Linked DNA regions of Arabidopsis thaliana. The protein of the gene in region 1 interacts with the protein of each later gene in a pairwise test. Each region holds a gene or a part of one and is shown in the gene's direction. Other genes may lie near its edges.

The links. The genes of interacting proteins can lie anywhere in the genome.
Region 2: the proteins of AT2G46550 (region 1) and ATG8D interact in a two-hybrid assay, tested with the Arabidopsis thaliana proteins (one large-scale study listed by BioGRID).

What each region holds. Positions count from the first base shown.
Region 1 is NC_003071.7:19,110,137-19,120,584, reverse strand, and holds AT2G46550 (uncharacterized protein), read left to right. Parts: upstream 1-6,378; 5' UTR 6,379-6,593; intron 6,594-7,112; 5' UTR 7,113-7,127; coding exon 7,128-8,321; 3' UTR 8,322-8,624; downstream 8,625-10,448. Other genes in the region: AT2G46560 (transducin family protein / WD-40 repeat family protein), read left to right, coding at 1-27, 125-370, 688-1,038, 1,157-2,524, 2,616-2,672, 3,012-3,299, 3,376-3,549, 3,658-3,881 and 4 more; AT2G46540 (fiber), read left to right, coding at 8,904-8,982, 9,345-9,427, 9,863-9,898; AT2G46535 (uncharacterized protein), read right to left, coding at 10,265-10,336, 10,432-10,448.
Region 2 is NC_003071.7:2,080,061-2,090,508, reverse strand, and holds ATG8D (Ubiquitin-like superfamily protein), read left to right. Parts: upstream 1-5,626; 5' UTR 5,627-5,733; coding exon 5,734-5,770; intron 5,771-6,103; coding exon 6,104-6,210; intron 6,211-6,293; coding exon 6,294-6,318; intron 6,319-6,572; coding exon 6,573-6,628; intron 6,629-6,700; coding exon 6,701-6,753; intron 6,754-6,978; coding exon 6,979-7,097; intron 7,098-7,200; coding exon 7,201-7,298; 3' UTR 7,299-7,523; downstream 7,524-10,448. Other genes in the region: AT2G05635 (DNA repair DEAD helicase RAD3/XP-D subfamily protein), read right to left, coding at 55-117, 285-360, 455-536, 612-793, 988-1,025; AT2G05632 (uncharacterized protein), read left to right, coding at 2,607-2,765; PGR5 (proton gradient regulation 5), read left to right, coding at 8,822-9,118, 9,201-9,305. UniProt on the Arabidopsis thaliana protein: Ubiquitin-like modifier involved in autophagosomes formation. May mediate the delivery of the autophagosomes to the vacuole via the microtubule cytoskeleton.

The sequences.
Region 1 (10,448 bases):
GACTTTTGGCTAGCAAGCCTTCTTAAGGTGGTTATAATTGTTTGCAAATATTGTTATCTTGTCAAATACCTTTCTTGCTTGGTGTTACAAATTATGACTATGAAGTTGTCCCTGGTTTATACAGTGGGAATTAGGAGAGTACCACCGGTCAATTCTTGCTATGGCTGGGTGTCTAGAGAACCCTGCTACTGAGAGCTCTACTGTTTCTTCAAATCACGTCTCTTTTGTGGATCCTAGTATTGGCCTATACTGCCTCATGTTGGCAACCAAAAATAGTGTGAAGAACGCATTGGGGGAAAGAACTGCCTCAACTCTTAGTAGATGGGCATCCTTAATGGCTGCTACCGCCTTCAGCAGATGTGGGCTCCCGGTAAATCATATCAGAAACTAGAACATGCTGTGTGCTTTCAAATGACATAGGATCTAGAGTACTTCTTCCATAATTTGCATGTTTTTACCAAGGCACCATGTTGAAAGCTAAGAACAAATTTTATAGGGAAGAAACTACCTTTTTTTATAAGTCGTTTTAGCATCAAATGATTATCCTTATCTGCATTTTAAAGATCTCGCAGCGTACTATATATCCTGTAGATTGTGATGTTTTTTTTTTTTTTTTTTTTTTTCTGAGATTGAGTTTGGTTTTCCGTGCGGTCAGATCTGAATTTATCTTCTTTTGAAAATTGTTAGCTCGAGGCGTTAGAATGTCTTTCACCATCTGCCAGCGGTCATGGTGGGACCCATCAGACTAGCGTTCCAAGTAACGGTCAGTTGCATACTACACAAGGTGTTTTTGATCACTCTGTTCCTCATTCGTCGAATTGGGTATCAAGCGGTGTTTCATCTACTGTGGACACTCATTTTAGATTGGGTTTAGCCGTCCAGTTCCTCTCGATGATCTTACGGGAAGCAACTGCACCCTTAATGAATTCTGAAGTTGTTTCATGTGAGAAATTCTCACGATTTCAACATAAGCTACAAACAGCTTTGGAGCAATTTCACCAGAGATTTTCGCTGTCTGCATCTTACCTACGTAATATGGTATGAGGTCTCCACTACTACTGCTTGCACATCATATTAGTTTTCTCAGTTGAACTAATTTGACAACGCAGATACTTTGATTGCTATCTGTAATCTAATTCTTTGTTTTTGTCGACAGATGATTCTGTCAGCATACAACCGAGGGTTACTATCCATGGGACACAATATATTTCAGGAAAATAGTTCCTCAGGACTCTCAGACGACAAGTCTCACACAGATGAAGATCTCCTCCAGTATTCAGCGTTGTCTAAATTGATTCTAAAAGCGACTGATGAGAAATCATTGGTGTTATCACGTATCATTGCTGCGTGCAGTGTCACTTGCTTACACTCAGTGCCATGCTTTGAGGAAAACAAGGTGTCATCTGGACCTGATCCAAAGTGGTCCAATGCTTTGCGGTTTTACTTTCAAGGAATTCTGGAATCGTTCTCTAATTTAAGAACTTCTATAAGGCTGTGCTTGGGCTCCTCTGTGGAAGACCTGAAAACAAAACTTGCAGTTGTTCTTGATTTAGTCGAATATTGTTTGAGACTCGCAATGGCTTGGGTTCTGGGAGACGTGCATTGTCTCTTTCGAATGGTTCAGCCCCTTGTGATATCATATTTTAATGGGCATATGCCTTATGAGGTTGACCTGGAAAGTGTGAAGAGAGTATACCACCAGGAAGCTTCTGTTAGTGTACCAGATGCATCAGATGTAGGAGTTAATTCTAAGTTCAGCAGTGTTGTTGAGAATCACGGAGTTGGCTATCCAGTATACTCAATTCCAGAAGATGAAAGATGTCTGGTAACACAAGCTTGTTTCTGGAAGCATGTTTCAGACTTTGTGAAACTTAAGCTGGTATCTATTTCGATCAATCTAGATGATGGTATTTCGAATAGTGGTTCCGCTGAAAATTTTGATGCCCAGACATCATTGGACTCCAGTGATGACATTGTATGCGTAACGGAGAAGATAATGTCTGTTCTGGGAAAAACACTGATTAGCACCCTAGCTCAACTCTCTTCGTACCATGTAAAACAACTAGTATTAGTCTTGAAACAGAAACTAGAGAAGAGACTTCAGGTTCCTACCTTGTTATGGCTGCTCGAATGTCAGGGATCTCAAGCAAATTTTCTTAATCGGGATATCCCAGATGCAGGTGTAGAGACGGAAAAAAACGGTGACCCTGTGGTTTCTGTGAGGTTCTGGAAGCTTTGTGTTGATCCTCATTTACTACACGAAGCTTTCTTGTTAGAAAATTTTGACATATTTGAATGGTCAAAATCTAAACCATTGGAAGATTGGAGCGATATGTACAGAGAAGTAATCAGGAAGAATGAGCTCTATGTGCCATGCAATCAAGATGGTCGAAGTAGTAATGAGGTGGCTTCACTTGCAAACCACGCTTCAAATTCTTCACCAAAAGCTGCGGTAACTGCCAATGAAAACTCTGCGTTCCAGAACCCCAAAGAAATCCATAAGAGGACCGGGGAGCTTATAGAGGTACCTATTTTTCTTACATTGACGAACAAGTCACTGATATTGTTGAAACTTTCTTATCTTTTGAGATCGAGTATTCTAATCTTTATAACAGGCCCTTTGTATCAACGCCATTAACCATCGGCAAGCTGCATTAGCTAGCAACCGCAAGGTCAGTATATCGTCGTAATTTGCCTTTACCACTTGTTCTATCTTTAATTTCCTGTGAAATTCATAAGTTTTTGTAACTTGCCATATGCTACGCACCAAAACTTTAGATATGCAAAGATGAGTCTGCATCCTGGAAAACATCCATTAACCTTTTATCTGTATCCTGCATTCTTGCATCAGTATCTCGAGATAAAATTTTCAGATGATATTGCATGTCCCATATGAAGACCAAGTTTATGTCAATCTGTTGTTATTTTGTTGTTGCAGTGTTTTATTATGCTTAGTGGTAATGTGGCAGGAGACATAGACACATCCCTAAATGTGCATTCGTGACATGCAGGGTATAATTTTCTTTAACCTAGAAGATGGTGATTCTTCCCAAAATCAGTCAGACTATATCTGGTCAGATGCTGACTGGCCACATAATGGTTGGGCTAACTCTGAGTCAACTCCCGTTCCAACATGTGTTTCACTCGGTGTTGGTCTTGGGGATAAGAAAGGAGCACACCTTGGGTTAGGTGGGGCCACTGTTGGAGTTGTTTCTCTTTCCAAGCCTGGGAAAGCTGACAGAGTTCCTGGCTACTCTGGGTTAGGAGCGATAGCGGATCCAGGATCATTTTTTACCCAGGTCACACATAGCTAAAAAAAAAAAATTGATAAGCCAAATGTATATTTTCTCATAACATTAAATAAAATTCACGTAGATCCGCCGGTGGTTAGGAGTCTCTGGTCTAGGTTGGGAAACTCAAGAAGAATTTGAAGAGTTTGTTGATCCTCCCCCAACAGTTGAAAGTGTTATTACGAGAGCATTCTCTAATCACCCGACAATGCCCCTCTTCTTGGTTGGCTCAAGCAACACTCACATATACTTGTGGGAGGTTTGTGCCTAAACACTTGCACCATCTGTTTTAGGAGTTCGGAGTAAATGATATGACATTTCTTATCTATCCTTGTGGATCTTATAATGCAAACCTTGCATGTTACAGTTTGGAAACGAAAGAGCTACTGCAACTTATGGTGTTCTTCCTGCTGCAAATGTTTCCCCTCCTTATGCTTTGGCGTCGATATCAGCAGTGCAATTCGGTCCATTCGGACACAGATTTGCTAGCGCTGCACTGGATGGAACTGTATGCACTTGGCAATCAGAAGTTGGAGGAAGGAGCAATATTCATCCTGTTGAATCATCTCTTTGCTTCAATGGCCATGCATCGTACGTTTCATGATCCTTGAGTCTATAAGTTCTTGTTCACTAATATGCTAAAAACACATAAGTTTTAAATTATTGCTGTCAGTCATGAAAATTACCATTATTTCTCTGTTTCTTGTTCTATTGGCTTCAGCTATTCTGTTTCTGTTATTTATGGTTGCAGAGATGTAGGATATATTAGTTCGAGTGGATCCATTGTTGCAGCTTCAGGATATAGCTCAAGTGGTGCAAATGTCGTTGTGTGGGATACTCTAGCTCCCCCTTCAACCTCCCAGGCATCTATCAATTGCCATGAAGGTCCTCCAATAATTTTTTTTGTAGAAGTGTTAGTATCATTTCCCATAATCACAACTCTTAACAAGTTTTTTTTTTGTTTTGTCCCTTTTCTTCTATGAAGGTGGTGCACGCTCTATCTCGGTATTTGATAATGACATTGGTAGTGGTTCAATTTCTCCTATGATTGTGACTGGTGGCAAAAATGGTGATGTCGGTTTGCACGATTTCCGGTTTATTGCAACCGGAAAGATGAAGAAGCAAAGGAACCCTGACGGTGGATCTTCGACTGATGGAGATCAAAACAAGAATGGGATGCTTTGGTATATACCAAAGGCTCACTTAGGTGCACACCCTAAAGCCTATTTTCACCTTCATATTCCAATTTTACCGGAAAAATATCCTGAAATTTGATTGACATTGATGCAAATTTCAGGGAGTGTGACAAAAATAGCGACAATCCCACGCACAAGTCTTTTCTTGACGGGAAGCAAAGACGGAGAAGTAAAACTTTGGGATGCGAAAGCTGCAAAGTTGATTCATCATTGGCCTAAACTACACGAAAGACACACTTTTCTGCAGCCAAACTCGAGAGGCTACGGTGGAATCATCCGGGTTAGTGAACCAAATCACCTAAAGCATAATCCTTTCATCGTATTTTCTCACAGTGGCTTTGGTTTCTTAGTAAACCAGAATCAAAGTAATGTCGGTGTATGTAATCGAATTTGGGTATGTGTTACGAATTTGGTGTAGGCTGGGGTGACTGACATACAAGTTTGTCCGAATGGATTTATAACGTGTGGTGGTGATGGCACGGTGAAGTTCGTCAGCCTCGTAGATTCTTCCTATGGCGATGCTAAATAAAAAGAAGATACATTTTCCGGGAAAGTTTTGCAGTCGAGAAAACGAGTTATTGCTACCTTGCGTGTGTTTATTGAATACGTGATTTTTTGTGATGTAGTTTTTTTCTCTATATGGTTTAATATTTGTGTATATACAAATATATTAAAGATTATGAAGCAGTAGAATCTTGAGTTGACCATAATCCAGATTTTAATTTATCTTTGACTTGACTTCAATCTATACTCGGAAATATCATCTATTTATCTTTGACATAGTTTTCGTTGACTTTGTTGCATCAGATTTAGACCAGATTAAATCGGACTGATTCCAATTAGATTGGTGTTAAGTGTAGTGCAATAGAACCGAAAATAAACATTATCAAGATTTAGTTCGTTATTGTAATTTTTTTTCTTTCTTTTTGGTGTTGGTTTGGTATTAGCTCGATATAGTTTAATAAGATTATGAAAAATTGACGGCTAGGAACCTGGCCACTATCGTATTACGTAGTGGAATATTATCTTATGGTTGATTATTAAACTGCTCCATAATTTGTGTTGTAGTCTTGTAGACGAAATGATATGAATCATCAAAATGTTTGATTAAAACCCCATTTGCCAAGAATTATTCCTAAAACTATTAAGTTAAGGCAAAGGTCCATTTCATTAATAATTATTCTAAAGAAGTTAGTTGTATATATAGTATATATATAGACTATGGTGTTAATTATGACTGAATATATTAGTGCTCACATAAAGCATCTTATTAGAATATCTTAGATTGCTTAAATAATTATTAACCACGTAATAAATAAATCTCATGTAACACTATCAATTGGAGAATAATGGAGAGAGACAATTAACCATAATGACTTGAAGACACTTGGCTTCACCTAACATTCAATTTCCTAGACGAGGCCACTATTTACATTCTCTTTACCTAACTTTCAGAACTACATTAAACCAAATTGACATGTAAAAAACCTAATTTTATATTTTCAACATGTCTATTTACCATTGGCCACTTTATTACTTAAATGAAAACGATGTCATAAAAAATATTAGTAGACCCTAACTTGAAATTTAAAATTTAATCGATCATTTAAAAATCAAAATCATTCGACGCAATTACTACAAGATTTTTATGTTTTAACCAAACATTTATGACGTAATCTACCATCGCGCGTAATCGTATAGTGATAACTGATAAGATAAAAGGTCTTATCCGTTAAAAAAGGAAAGGGAAGCCTTTTTTAGATCTTCTTTTTTGTCGCCACGTGTAATTAATATCTAATCGAACGGCTGTCAGGTGAAATCTATGGGCAAATCTGTGGACTCAAATACTCATTAACATAACTATGGGTCCTCTCAGAAAACGGTGCCGTTTTGCGGAAGCTTGCGTGCTGAATGACACAGAGACTAAGAAAACGATAATAAACTGCAAAATGATTCAAAAGATTTTAATCGAAAGCAAACAAAAATTCTCTGACAATCAGAAAACAAAAAAAAATCAGAACAACTCTTATCTTCTTCACGAGACTGACTAAACAATCATAGATTTTTCCGTTTTTTGGGTTTCGTCTGGTGTTACTCTCTCCTTCTGGTTAGTTCTTTTTTTCCGAATTCTTACAAATTATTGCGGTTTCATTAAGATGAATTATGATTTGGATCACCATCCGTTGTTTTTGTGTCCGGTTTTGATTCTTAGGTCTAATCGCGTTTCATGTTTTTTTTTTGTGTTCTTCTGGGTTTGATAATTTTATAGTTGAAGTTTTATGAAATTTGATTTCAATTGCAAATAATGATGATTTGTTTAGTAAGTTGATAAATTGACAAAGAATCTGGCTTTGGTTTTTGTTTGCTTCTAAGAAAATTAGGAACTAATTCTTCAATTTACCTGGAAAGCAAAACATATCAGATTCTCTAAAAAGTAGTTTTGTAATAAGCTTTTTTGGTGATGGATCTGTCGGCAATCAGAAAGATTCTTCCTTTGAAATAAATGATTCATATTATTTTTCCTATAAATAGATTCAAAACGGTTAATAAGATTTTGCTAAATCTACCTAATTTCTAAATCACATTGATCTTGAATTGAATTCTCAGTCTCTTGTCTTATCTTTAGAGTTATGGTGAAATAATGGCAGCAGCTGAAGCAAGAGCAGTGTGGCAAAGAACAGTTAATCGTTGCTTTGTCCAAGAAGACGCTAAAAGAGCTCCCAAGTTAACTTATTGCCAATCATCTTCATCCTCAACTGCTTCTTCAACTAAGCAAGTGGAAGTTTCTGGTTCTTCTCCTCGAGTTTCTGTTGAACCACGGACTCAATCATCTTGTGCAGGTTTCATGCCTCTTCCTCGAAACCCGAATTTCCCTGATCTGTTACCCCACAACACCAGACTGTGGAGTCATCCTCATCATCAGTTTCAGGTGAATAAGAAGCAGCCATTGGAGGATGAGGTTAACAATCAAGGTGTATCTGAGAAGAAGTCTGAATTGGGAGCTGGAGAGAAACAAGGAAAGTCTTTTAATTCCGAAAGCTTTCAAGAGTTTATAGAGTTGATGGAGACAAGGGAGAGTTATGGTTCAACTGGGTATGATGAGTCCTCTGAGAAAAAGTTAAGTGAGCTCTCTTTTGATCCTAGCTCGCCGTGGAATCTTCTCTCGAGTGAGAAAGCTGCACCGTGGTGGCGAACTACGGATAAAGACGAGTTAGCTTCCTTGGTTGCACAAAGATCTCTAGACTATGTTGAGAATTGTGATTTACCAACACCGCAGAAGATGAAACGATCTTATTATGGTAGTCCACGTGGTTTTGATTCTGATGGATTGAGAGACTACTCTGTCTCTGGCCAAACCATCAAGGGTACAAGCAAAGGAAGCAGCTGCAAGAACAGACCCGAGGCTTCATCTGAGTCTGATTTAAGCAAATCCGAGCTTCTAGAAGCACTGAGGCGTTCGCAAACGCGGGCTAGGGAAGCGGAGAATATGGCTAAAGAAGCTTATGCAGAGAAAGAGCACTTGGTGAAGATATTGTTGAAGCAAGCCGCAGAGCTTTTTGGGTATAAGCAATGGTTACAACTGCTTCAGCTAGAAGCACTTTACCTCCAAATCAAGAACAAGGAGATTGACAATAAGAACAACGACGATCCAGGGGTTTCCATCCCTTGTTGGAGCAATGGCAAAGCAAGAAAAGAGGGGAGAAAGAGAAGAAGCAAAAGGGGTAAACCGAATGGAGCAAAGTACGCGGTTGGTTTAGCATTGGGGATGAGTCTTGTTGGTGCTGGTTTGCTTCTTGGATGGACTGTTGGATGGATGCAGATGCTATCGTTCTAGTTTAAAGAGAAGAAAAGAGACAAAACTTCATCTTTTTTCTCATTGAACAGCTTGATGATGTTGAAATGAGTTAAAAGATTGGCTTCGAATCAGCTTTTGGATTTCGTTAAGGAGAGAATGTAAATTGTTGTAAGAATTTTGTTAATATTGTGTTTACTAGTTTGATCTTTTCCTTCAAAAATCATATGAAATTATCTTCTTTAATGTGTAAGTAAGTATCTTTCATGTTCATGTAATATCTGCATATATTAACTACTGTACAGTGTATATGATCTTTCTTTCATGTTCCTAGAGCTTCGATTTCTTGAAAATTTAAAATACTTAGTAATTTTTTACTGCTGGAAGCAGAATGAGAAAGAGAAAGATATACAGTATATATATTTTTTAATTACGGCAAAGGTGATTATAATGGGCCGAATTGCGAACATTTGGGCCCAGTAACCCGACCCGACCGGAGATGATCTTTAATTTCGTTTCAGGTGAGAAAATGGTTTACTCAGGAGCAACTATCAATCGAATCAGACATTGACGAGGAGCTTTGGTCGTAATCCGAGGAAGAGATTAAAATCGGAAAGTGCGAAAATGCCGGTCATGGAGAAATTGAGGATGTTCGTGGCGCAGGAACCAGTTGTGGCTGCTTCTTGCTTAATCGGCGGTGTTGGTATGAACCCTAATCTCAATCTTAATTCCTCACCGATCGATCGCATTCTCTTTCTTAGAAAAGGATTTGCTTTGGGATTTATCTAGTTTCTGGAATTCCTCTTTGAATCTATAGAGCTAGTTTGCTCGATTGTAATTTGAGAATATAGAGAAATGCCTGATCCAAATCTCTCTATTCGGAATCGTCATTTCTTTGGGTTGTCAAAGAGAGTGTATTTTAAGGAGTTGAAATTAAGCTTAATTTGGAACCATGTCTTCCATTATCTCCATGTATAAGTAGCAAAAGATTATGTCTTTCTTGAACATTAGCAAAAGGCAATTGTGTTAATATACATTTGCTGATGGATTCTCTTCATCTTGTAGGACTATTTTTGCCTGCGGTTGTGAGGCCTATTCTAGACTCTCTCGAGGCTTCCAAACAAGTTAAAGCTCCTCCACTTACCGATGTATGTATTAGAATATATTTATCTCTGTGGAAATTCCTTTTGCTGCTAAAATCGTCATCTATTTCCTATCTAATGAAATGTCTCTGATGTGGGAACTCTGCATGATAGTTGTTCTTAGTATCCGTGTAGGCGAATGTTTGGACGTTTCTTTTTTTTGCTATGTGATGTAGCCTATACATCATCTCGATGTTTTGTTCCTCCTGCGTCTTCTTGTGATTTGAGAGTTCCATCTTTGGTTCATCCATGCCTTAAAAATCTATGCTTTTCATCATTGGACGAGTGTCATGATCACATTTTGTTACTGCCAAAAATGGATTGGGCATAAAAGAGACTAGTTAGTTATCACATTGCTTAGTTATCCAACGCTTTCCTATATACTCTTTACAGGCAAACAAAGGCGTCAAGTATTAACTCAGATCCAATTTGCTTTTGCAGGTGATTGCTGGTGTCACAGGGAAGAAACAGAGTTAAAACAAGCAATGACTTCCCCTGTTTTCTTACATTCAGATGATCCCTATTCCTTTTTTGTCTTTTACTCTCTCTATTCACAATGAATAAGCCAGACTCATTTGTTTGTTATGAAACTTAATATAAAGGCATGTGTGTACACTCACTTTTGTTCATCACTTGATCAGATGTATTCATTTCTTAACAACAAATGAAAAAAGCTTGAAACTTTTCTTGCCATGGCTCATGAGTCTTAACAACATTATATATGCATATCACACAGATATTAAATTACAGTAAAATTGCTAATCTTACATACACTCTTAATAGCTCTTTTTCATCATCTTGATCCCTCAATAGATAGATAGATAATGCATATTGAAAACAGGCTTAAACACTTCCACTTCTCATCTTCTTGTTCTTCCATGGCATTGCTAGCTTCAATCCCTTGCATAAACTTCCCTGCATTTCCCCAACCAAACCCGTTTCAGCGAAAGACAAGACTTGGGAAGATGAAGAAGTTATGAAGAAGGAGCGGAGAAACACAAATACTTTACCCAAAAGTGAGATCCTT
Region 2 (10,448 bases), about 17 Mb from region 1:
AAAACAATCATATAAAGAATCATGTCACTTTGGTAGGATCAACCGTAATGCTCATCATGAATTAATTGGAAGATATGGTTGTTGACTTTTGTCCTCATGAACACCTAATCCTCCTACCTACAAAAAGAGAATATAAAAGAGACTATAAGTAAATTATCTCTAAAGTCTCAAGCATTAAGTTAACCAGATACTATTTGAACACTCGTGGAAGACGTGTATATTTGATCTTGATTAACCATAATATATGCAAATCCACACAAGAGAGCAAAGTCAATTAAACATACCAATACAGCCATGGGGACTCTGTAACCAGTTTTCCTATACTCACGAATCACTTGAGTAATCTGAGAATGAGTTCGTCTTATAATGAACAAAAACAAACAATCAATCAATAAGAAGAAACCCATTAATTTATATTCACAACATTTCCAAAAATGCTCATGTTAAAGCTTACGAAGCATAGTATATGGTAGGAATTTTGGTTCTCTTCTTAGTTGCAGTTTCAGCTTTCTCCACATTTATAGATGCAGGAGTGTCTATTCAGAGATTTACCACTATTCAGAGATAAACCCAAATCATAATTGCAACATCGTTAAGACTCAATGAATTACCTCTTTGTTGCGTTTCCGGTATGAATCCACCTCCATGATTCAATGGATCGGTGGCTGCTTCAGGGGCAGCTTTCGAATGAGTCAAATTGCCTTTCAGAAGCCGAGATTTATAGTTCTGTTGCCAAGCGAGAACTGAGCAGGAGGTATTGAAGCTTTGATATGCAGTAAACAGCTCAATTTTCCTGGGTAATTGAAGAGAAGAAAGAGGAGAAAGAGATGGGGGTCGATGAGAATGAATTCACTTACAATTTATTTACACGTATATTATTCTTATCCCAACCAATTAATTAGATCAGATTAGGAAATTAGTAGTTTAATTTATTTTATTTTTTCCTTAAAAAACTTTTTAGAAATATACACTCTCTTATGGTCTTACATTAATATTTCAGTTACTGTTTCAAAAAATCTCCTCATTATTGAAATATTTTATTTTATCAACCAATTAAACTTTACCATAAAAACTGATTAATGCTAAATTTTATTTTATTTAATAAAAATAGAATAAATACTATGTCCGTGCATAGCACGGGCCATACTGCTAGTTATTGCATATGTTTAAAGATTCCATTACTTTGTATACTCGCTTCTTCTTTGCATCTGGATTGAGCTATAGAGGAGTTAGTAGGGCTAAATGTAAGAAATATTATTTAATATTTCTCCCCTATTATATGGTCTTGTAATTATCTGTTTTCTATTGGAATAATGTTATTATTTAACATATTTGGTAACCAATTAAATTAGTAATAAAGGAGTTTTTCCTAATCAATCTCTACCTTGATGGACGGATGAGATCTAATCTTAAGGAAACCCTAATGAGGAATAGGTCCTCTCTCCACCTATAAATATATAGCTTTAGACCATCATAAAGATATCATAAAACGCAACACGTTAAAGCTAAGTTTATAGGCAAGGTGAGAGAAACTTAATCCTAAACTAAAGATCAAGACTTCAGGAAACCTATTCATGAAGACATCTCCACGACAATAAAGAGAGGTAATCCGATAAACCTCCTAATGATTCTATTATGTGATTAACCTAGATGTTTAAAGATCTTAGGGTTCATATAAAATTAACTTACACTAAAGGCTTATGTTGTGGTCGTGATTGGTTGGTCTTAATTTTTTTATTTTTTTTAATACCATGGTTGGTCTTAATTTGCAATGCACCATTAACTTCACCTAACGCTCTTTATTCTTAAGAAATATTAATTTTATTTTTTATATTAACAATTAATTTGTTCACTCTTTTTTACTTAAATATGTAAAAATGTTTCCAAAACTTTAATGATTGAACTAATATAATATCCAATTATCGAACCTCCAACATGAAAATTTCTAATCAATATTTAAATACATATTGTTTTTGTTTAATTTAAATATTGTGTTTAAATCTCTTCAAACAATTAGATATTATAATTTAATTTCTCTAAGAAACAAAAAAAATCGAAAACCCATGTATATATTTCATACTGTTTTTTAGCCTACCTCTTGAATGATTATATTCTTCAAATTTAGTGAGAAAAATATTTCGATGTATCCCAACTAAAATTCTATTTTTCTTGCTTCAATTTATGGTTTGTTTTTCTCTTTTCATAAATAACTGATAAAAAAATAAATAGAATCAAGTCAAACCAAATTAAATCGAATCAAGCCAAACCACTTTTATAAAGTATATATTCCCCATTGTGTCACTCTCATAAAATAATATTGCCACCGTTGCATTATATATGATGATAAATTTTCTAGAACTCATATTTTTTTTTAAAATGTGTGTTTTAAACTAATACATCTAAATGAAAGAAGTGTTTCTTTTGCGGACAAGTTTTCCTGGCTTTTGCTATCCCAATTGAATTGGTTTTTTTTTGTCCAGTATCTCCGCCTTCTACAGTTGTGATGCGGGCCCTCTTTCTGGCATCACCGCCTCCTATAGGCGGCGTTGGCTAGCTTTGCTTTTTTAACTCGCCGTCCAGTGTATCAGGTAGTTCCAGTTTTGTTTATGCGTTTGTTTAATTGTCTCGATTATGAAGAGTTCCAATATGTGAGATTGTTAGATCAGGAGAGTTTTCTCAGATCTACTTCTACTGACTTGTTCTGTTTTACCGTCGGGATTTCTTGTTTTCGGCCCCTATGGTTTTTTGGCAAGGTTGTTTGTTGATTGCATTGTTGTATCTACCAGTTTTCTTCGTTTTAATTTTCAAGACAGTTATGCGCCTAAGTTGTTGCTGAAAGCTCCATCGGTTTAATCTCCACGCGGATTTCCTTAGAGTTCGGGAGGAAATTACTTTGAGAAGTTCTTTTCTTTGCAGATTTGATAATGAAGATTGGTGAGATTCTCTAATTAAAAACCGTTAAGACTTCTTTGCTTGAAGATCTGGCGATTTCTGATGATTTTGGAGTTTCCTAAGGATTCTTACCAAATCGACAATGACCAACAACGATATATGCTTCACATGTCCATGCGTCTTAACCTTGCTTCATAGTCTCACATGTGGCTTTGCGTTGGAATCTTTAAATCTTACTTCTACAAAGGGTTTAGTTTCCTAGATTGGACTTTCTTTAAGTTGGGCTTCTTCTTATAAGTTAAACTTGTTGGTTCTTTGGTTATGCAACATGGATGCTTGTTTAGATAATCTAATATTGTAAAATTTGATGTGTTTGTCGAGTCATGTAAGTGAAAGATTCCACTTTTGCAACAAAAGTTTTAAATAAAGTGCAACATTTATGAGAAAGAAAAAAAAAAGGTTTTATGCAAAAGGACTCTCCAAATGATTTTTTTTGCTAGACAAACATCCATCTCAAAAAAATACAGGTCAATATCACAGTCTCAAAAGTCACCTACAATATAGTCCTTCCGTATATCGATGACGTAACAGTCGATAACTCCGTTGGAAGACATAAGAGTTTTGTTAAACAAACCCTCCATATATTTTTTTATTTTTGCAAGACAAACCTCAATGTCAAATAAATACAATATTACAATCTCAAAGTCACCCGCGATATAGTCATTTTGTATAGCGATGACATGACAATCGATAATTCCGTTAAAAGCATAATGGATATCAAAATAGACCTTTGTTTTGCTTTTGTTGAAAACCACATGATTGTGTGAGTTTCGTTATTAGAAATAGAATTGAGGGAAATAATTAGAGTTCTTTCATATTATATCTTCTTCTTTATTCATATGAAGTTTGGAGATTCATTTTTCTTTTCCATTTCGATCTTCATCCATTTCGATGTATGTGTTTGTTGAATTGTGTTCCACATGATCAAAAATCTTGGTTTGATTTTAAGTGATTCATTTACAGTTTTGAAGATCCCAATGAAAAATAAATATGAATCTCCAAATTTTCAGATAAATAAAAATTCAATAATTTTGGTGTATATTGTTTTATGGGTAATATTAGTAGATAACCAAATAAAACATACAAATTAAGAAACTAGCAGAGAGAAAGTTTTTTGTTACAAAATAACCATGGATCCCACGTTGTCGGAAGAAAGGAAATAACAAATCTACCCTTCATTTGTTGTAAGATGAACAGTAAACGAAATACATCCGTGTAATTTTTCAAAATAGCATGTAACATTAAAATTTCACATGTTATATTTAGTTTAAAAACATGCTATTTCAAAAAACGTTATGAATTTTTAAGAAAAAATATTCTTATGAAATTCTTTTACGTGAACAGAATCTTAAAAAAAAAAAATTATATGTGATTTTAATAAAAACCATGTATTACTAAAAAATAGGAATATATTTTTAAAGAAATCACGTGTGATCTTAATAAAAAACGTGTATTACTACAAAATATCATGATAAAAAGAGATATTAAACTGAATAGAATGTTTTTTCCAAAAAATACCAGGTGCTTTTTAATAAATACTATGTAATAAGAGAAAATAACAAGATAAAAAGAGGATATTATGTTATCGCATGTATTTCGGAAAAATAACATGTTACAAAGGACATTTACGTAATTACACGTGTTTTCCAACATGTTTCCGACAAGATACTGTGATTCAAGGTTAGTTTGTACATTCTTTTCAAATCTATAGTCATTTATTATAAATACTCTTGTTTTATTGTATGTTTTCTAATGTAGTTATTGGTTGTCATGTCATCACTACACAAAAAGATAATATTATGAGTGATTTTTAAGATTGTAGTGTTGACATTCATTTATTTGATATGAAGATTTTTTTTTACAAAAAAAGTTTACATAGAAATTTTTTACACTAAATCTTTATGTTTTTAATAGAGTTATCGTCTATATCAAACCTACATTTATTTGACATAATAGTTTATCTTATAAAAAATGACTTCATCTGTTCTTTTTTATTTGATTGGTTAGGAAAAACACACATATTAAGTTAAACATATTAAAATTGTTAAATGTATTATTTTTTGTATTTTACAATTTTTTATAACTTTAAATCAATAATATTCAATTATTTTTATCAAAGTTTATAATTAATTAATAATAACTAATAAATATTTCATAAAAAATCTAAAAATTAATCTTTTAAAAACTTATTTTTTTCAAAAAACAGAGAGTGTTAAATAGATAGATTTTTTTACACAAAACCCAAAAAAAAAAACTAAGACCTTGAATGTTTTTTAGATTTTGTAAGAGTTTTTGATTTTTGTTTTTTAAAAACTTATTTTAATACCAATCAAGATTTTAAAATTTTGGTTTCCCTACAATTTAGTAAAACTATTTTATTGTAGTTTTCCATTCATATTTAAGTTTTTTAGTTTTTCTAAAGTTTAGAAAATCTAGTTTTTACTCAATCAACGTTATTTTTTCAAAAACCAAAAACCAATTTTTTAGGGGTTTTTAAAACAAAAATATAATAACAAAAATCTAAAATCTATAGACTAAAATCTAAACTCAAAAACTGAATCGAAAATATCCATTCAGGCCTAATACATCCAATATTTCAATACTTCTTAACTCTTAACTCTTAAGTTTTAAGTAATTAAATATATAAAGATCTGTTGCCAAGCGTACCCTTTTTATAAACATTCCAAATAACTATCTCCATTCTTTGGAGTTACCCAATTTCGACGTTGAACACAAACCCTTGCTTCTCTCTTCTCTGTTTCTCTCTCGCAGCGAAAAATCATGGCGATTAGCTCCTTCAAGCATGAACATCCTCTTGGTTCGTTTTCGATTTAAACCTAATCGATCAATCTTGTTGATCTTTGTGTATCTCTCTCTCATCGTAGGGATTTTTTTAGCGACTAGGTTTAAAAATTCTCAAAATCTGGTTACGTCTATTTCAATTGCTTCTGAGTTTGCATGAATTGATCCTTGATTCTGATTTCCAACGATTTCAATTTTGATTGCGTTAACAGTTATAAGAATCCGCAAAATTATATGTTGAATGATTTTATCGCCGATTCTGTATTGTTTCGTGAAGTAGTATGCATAATCTTTGATTGAAACAAGTTTTGTGTTTATTGATGCAAATACATTATGATCTTTATTCAAGTGGAGATGAATATTGATGTTGAAGTTACTAAGTTTCACTTGTCTCTCTTGTGTTCCGTGGTCGAGTCTCTGTTGTTCACGGGGCGTAGAATCGCTATTTCAGTCCCTGTACATAATCTTTGATTGAAACATGTTCTGATTTGGTGCTGCTTTTGCTGAGGAAGCAAAATACATTATAGTCTCTGTTCAAGTGGAATCCTAAGATATTATCACTGAGTATGTGTTGTTCACGAGGCTTAGAATCACTATTTTAGTCCCTGGAGCCTGGAGTAGTAGTGTACATAATCTTTGATTGAAACATGTTTTGATTTTGTTCTACTTTTGCTGAGGAAGCAAAGTACATTATAGTCTCTGTTCAAGTGGAATCCTAAGATATTATCGCTGAGTCTGTGTTGTTTTACGTGGGTTAGAGGATGTTGATGTGTTGAAAATTGATGGATCTGTGTTTTTTTTGCTCTTGAATGTTACAGAAAAGAGACAAGCTGAAGCAGCACGTATCAGGGAGAAGTATCCAGACAGAATACCAGTATGAATTTTGGCTATTTTCATTTAAGAAAATTGCATAGCTTTTGCCTTATTCTCTCTGAAATTGTTGCAGGTCATTGTCGAAAGAGCCGAGAAGAGTGATGTCCCGGATATTGATAGGAAAAAGTAAGTCCTTACTTCTCTTGAGGAGTTGGATATAATCTCTTTCTTCTCACTGAAAGTGGCTTCAAGCCCTTTTCTGAGAACCCTACACTCCCTCACATTTAGTAATGAATTGGTTAATTGGATAGAAATAATTTTTTTTTATTGAAAGATCTGGAGGAATTTCTGGTTTTCATGGTTTGTTGCTTAGGGATAATGAATTGGCTGACTTACTATTCAAAACTTTAGGTACTTGGTCCCAGCTGATTTGACTGTTGGCCAGTTTGTTTATGTTGTACGGAAGCGGATCAAGCTCAGTCCCGAGAAAGCCATCTTCATTTTTGTCAAGAACATTCTACCACCAACTGGTTAGTTTCAAACACGTTCCTTAATCATATACTTTTCCAGTTCAAGGAATCATATCTTTTTCTCAGTTGAGCTAATAGTAGTAGTGTTATCCTTTTATTGCAGCGGCAATAATGTCTGCAATTTATGAAGAGCACAAAGACGAAGACGGGTTTCTATACATGAGTTACAGTGGTGAGAACACGTTCGGGATCTTCTTCTAATGCGCTTGGAATATGTGGATGCATCAGATTATCAATGTACAGTCTGTCTATTTCTCTGCTTGTCTCTAGTTTTCATGACATTGGACGAAGCTTTTGAAACTTGCATGCTATGTTATTAACATGATAAGGTCTTCCGTTCATGGTGTTAATTTGGCTTTATGCTACACTTAATTTCAAACTTAGTCGCTATATATAGTTGAGGTCACTTGGTGTCCTCCTTGAATATTGGCCCGGCCTATTTCACTAGTCGTTGAACCGTTACGATTTCTATCTTCTCAAAGTTAGCTCGACCGTCAAATCTCTAAGCTCTTGCAATCTCTGCTTCTAAGGAACACAAAACAGAGATAACTTTAGCTATAAATATTTAGATTTCAAAAGCAACTTGATTTAGGTAAATTTGTGCACACTCTAGAATAGATTATCATCTGTTACAGATTATTACTGTACAATCCAGCAAAAACTAGGCCTGGGATTTCGGATTAACCCAATGACCGAACTGAACAAACCGTTTTTTTGGTTCTGATAACCGACTATGAAGGGAAGGCTAAACCGATCGGCGAAATTATAATTGAAGTTCGGTTCTCGGTTCGGCAGACATAACCGATCAGTTTTCTCGGTTAATAGATACTATAAATATAAAGATAAAAACATTAGATCTAATCTTTTTAGCTTCTTCTCCGTTTCCTTTTGATCCTCATCCATGGCTATTTAGTCAATTCTCTCTATCTGCATGTGGTTTTCACTATGGTAGCACGTCGGGGCATATTTCGTTACGGAGATATCGTCATCCCTCGCTATCACCGTCACCGTCACAGACGTAGATCTGCTGATTATGAAGAGGGTAGCGGCACCAAGATACCATCAACCCTAATTTTTAATAGGTTTGGATTTTTAGTTATTTTGGGTTTAAGTTTGTTTTTCGTTTTGGCCCAATTATTGGTTTGTAATTATAAAATTTTGTTTATCTTCGCCCATTCTATAATTTTTGTTTTGACCCATTATCTTGATTTTGGACTTATTCGGTATAAACTAACCGAACTAAAAAAAAAATCGGTTTAGTTCAGAGTTGATTTTGAATCCTATAACCAAACCGACCCGAACCAAATCTTTATTCGGTTTAATTTGACAAAATTTTAAAGAACCGAAAAAACCGATTAAACCAAACCGAACCGATTACCCGAATAAACCGAATGCCCAGGCCAAAAACAACTGAAAATAAAAAATAAAAAATGAGATAGGAGAATATTTAATCCGACGGTGGAGAAATGTTGATATAATAAAACGTGATACAGAGGATCATAAACCCGCAACATGAGAAACGTAATAAGTTAAGTCAAAAAAACGAAAAAGCCAGAATCATATTTGTGGCTCTGGTTTCTCCATCCAAACAAAAACAACACCCAAACCTTGTCCACACCAAAATGTTAAACTCAAAATCCAACCACACACACACAATTTCTCTTCCTCTCTACCATTAACATCGATCAGAAAGACCGAGAGAGAGAGGGAGAAGCTGATTGATTATGGCTGCTGCTTCGATTTCTGCAATAGGATGTAATCAAACTTTGATAGGAACTTCCTTCTATGGAGGATGGGGAAGTTCCATCTCCGGAGAAGATTACCAAACCATGCTCTCCAAGACAGTTGCGCCACCGCAACAAGCCAGAGTCTCAAGGAAAGCAATCAGAGCAGTTCCAATGATGAAGAATGTCAATGAAGGCAAAGGCTTATTTGCACCTCTAGTTGTTGTCACACGCAACCTAGTAGGCAAGAAGAGGTTTAATCAGCTCAGAGGAAAAGCCATTGCCTTACACTCTCAGGTTTGCTTGTCTTATAATCATTCTCTTAAGAACTAGTCAAAGAAGCAAAGTTTTGTGGAACTGGGTTCTTTTGTTCTTTCAGGTGATCACTGAGTTTTGCAAATCGATTGGAGCAGATGCAAAACAGAGACAAGGGCTTATCAGGCTTGCTAAGAAGAATGGAGAGAGGCTTGGTTTCCTTGCTTAGGTCTTAAAAAGAACAAATCTTTCTCTCTGCTTGTGTCTGATATATACACTCACAACTCCTCTTGTTGTTCTTGTCTAGATGTATTTTGTCCAAACCTATAATCTTGATTTTTGTTACATTGCCTTTGAGGGTTACTCAAACACACATAACTGCTGCCATTCTCATCTGAAAAGTTGTTCAATAAGGTCTTAGCTGAACTAGTTTTCTCAGTCACATAGAGATACAAAATATGTAATATTGCCACTCTTTCAACAGATTAAAAAGCCTAATCATAACTCTCAAACAATTAAGGGATTGAAAAAGACTGTAAGTTTTGCTTTCTATTGAAGCATCCCTAAGATCGGAGAGGTATTGAGAGCTGCAGTTTTTTAACACCGTGAGCTTACACTGATTACTTCAAGACCCAAGTAAGATTGCATAATATGTCAATAAAGTTGTCATCGTGGAAACTTGATATATATGGAACTTTACCTAGACATTCTTTAACACAAACTCTGTTTCTGCTAGCTAAGCATTCGTTCCCAAAGGTTTCCAGGAGGTTGACTTGTTGCCAGTTGCCTTAACCTTGATTAGGTTGAAAATTTGGGTACGAGTAATGTTACAGAACCACACGTGGGAGGTCACACGTGCGAAATCAAATGGAAGAAGGAATTAATAAGAGGCTGACGCGTGTCGACTGAGGAGTGGCAGACTCAAACATGCCGTTAGGCCCTTCTATATGAGCAATATTCAGCTCATCTTTCTCTTTTATCAATTAATCTGTAAAATCTAGAATCTCTGAGAACTTTTCTAAGCTAGATATCTCACATCGAGACTAGCAGATCCTTGGGTGTTTTATGAACATCGATTGCTCATTGTAATCAGGGATTTATTCTTAATCGGAATTGATTTTACAGTGAACCGGAAAGTTATTTGTATCAAAGGTATCAAAGCTCTGTCTTTCCTTGGAGTCATGGTTCATACACGTTTTCATGATGAGTCGAAGGAGAAGGGAAAAGAGGTGGAAGGTTTGGATCCGATGGAGGAGAGGATGGCGAGGCTGGAGGCGATGATGGAAGCTCATAGCAAAGCGACGATGAAGAATCTGGCTGATATGATGACTGCGATGAGCAGATCTACAGCTCAGAAACAGCCGGATGAGCA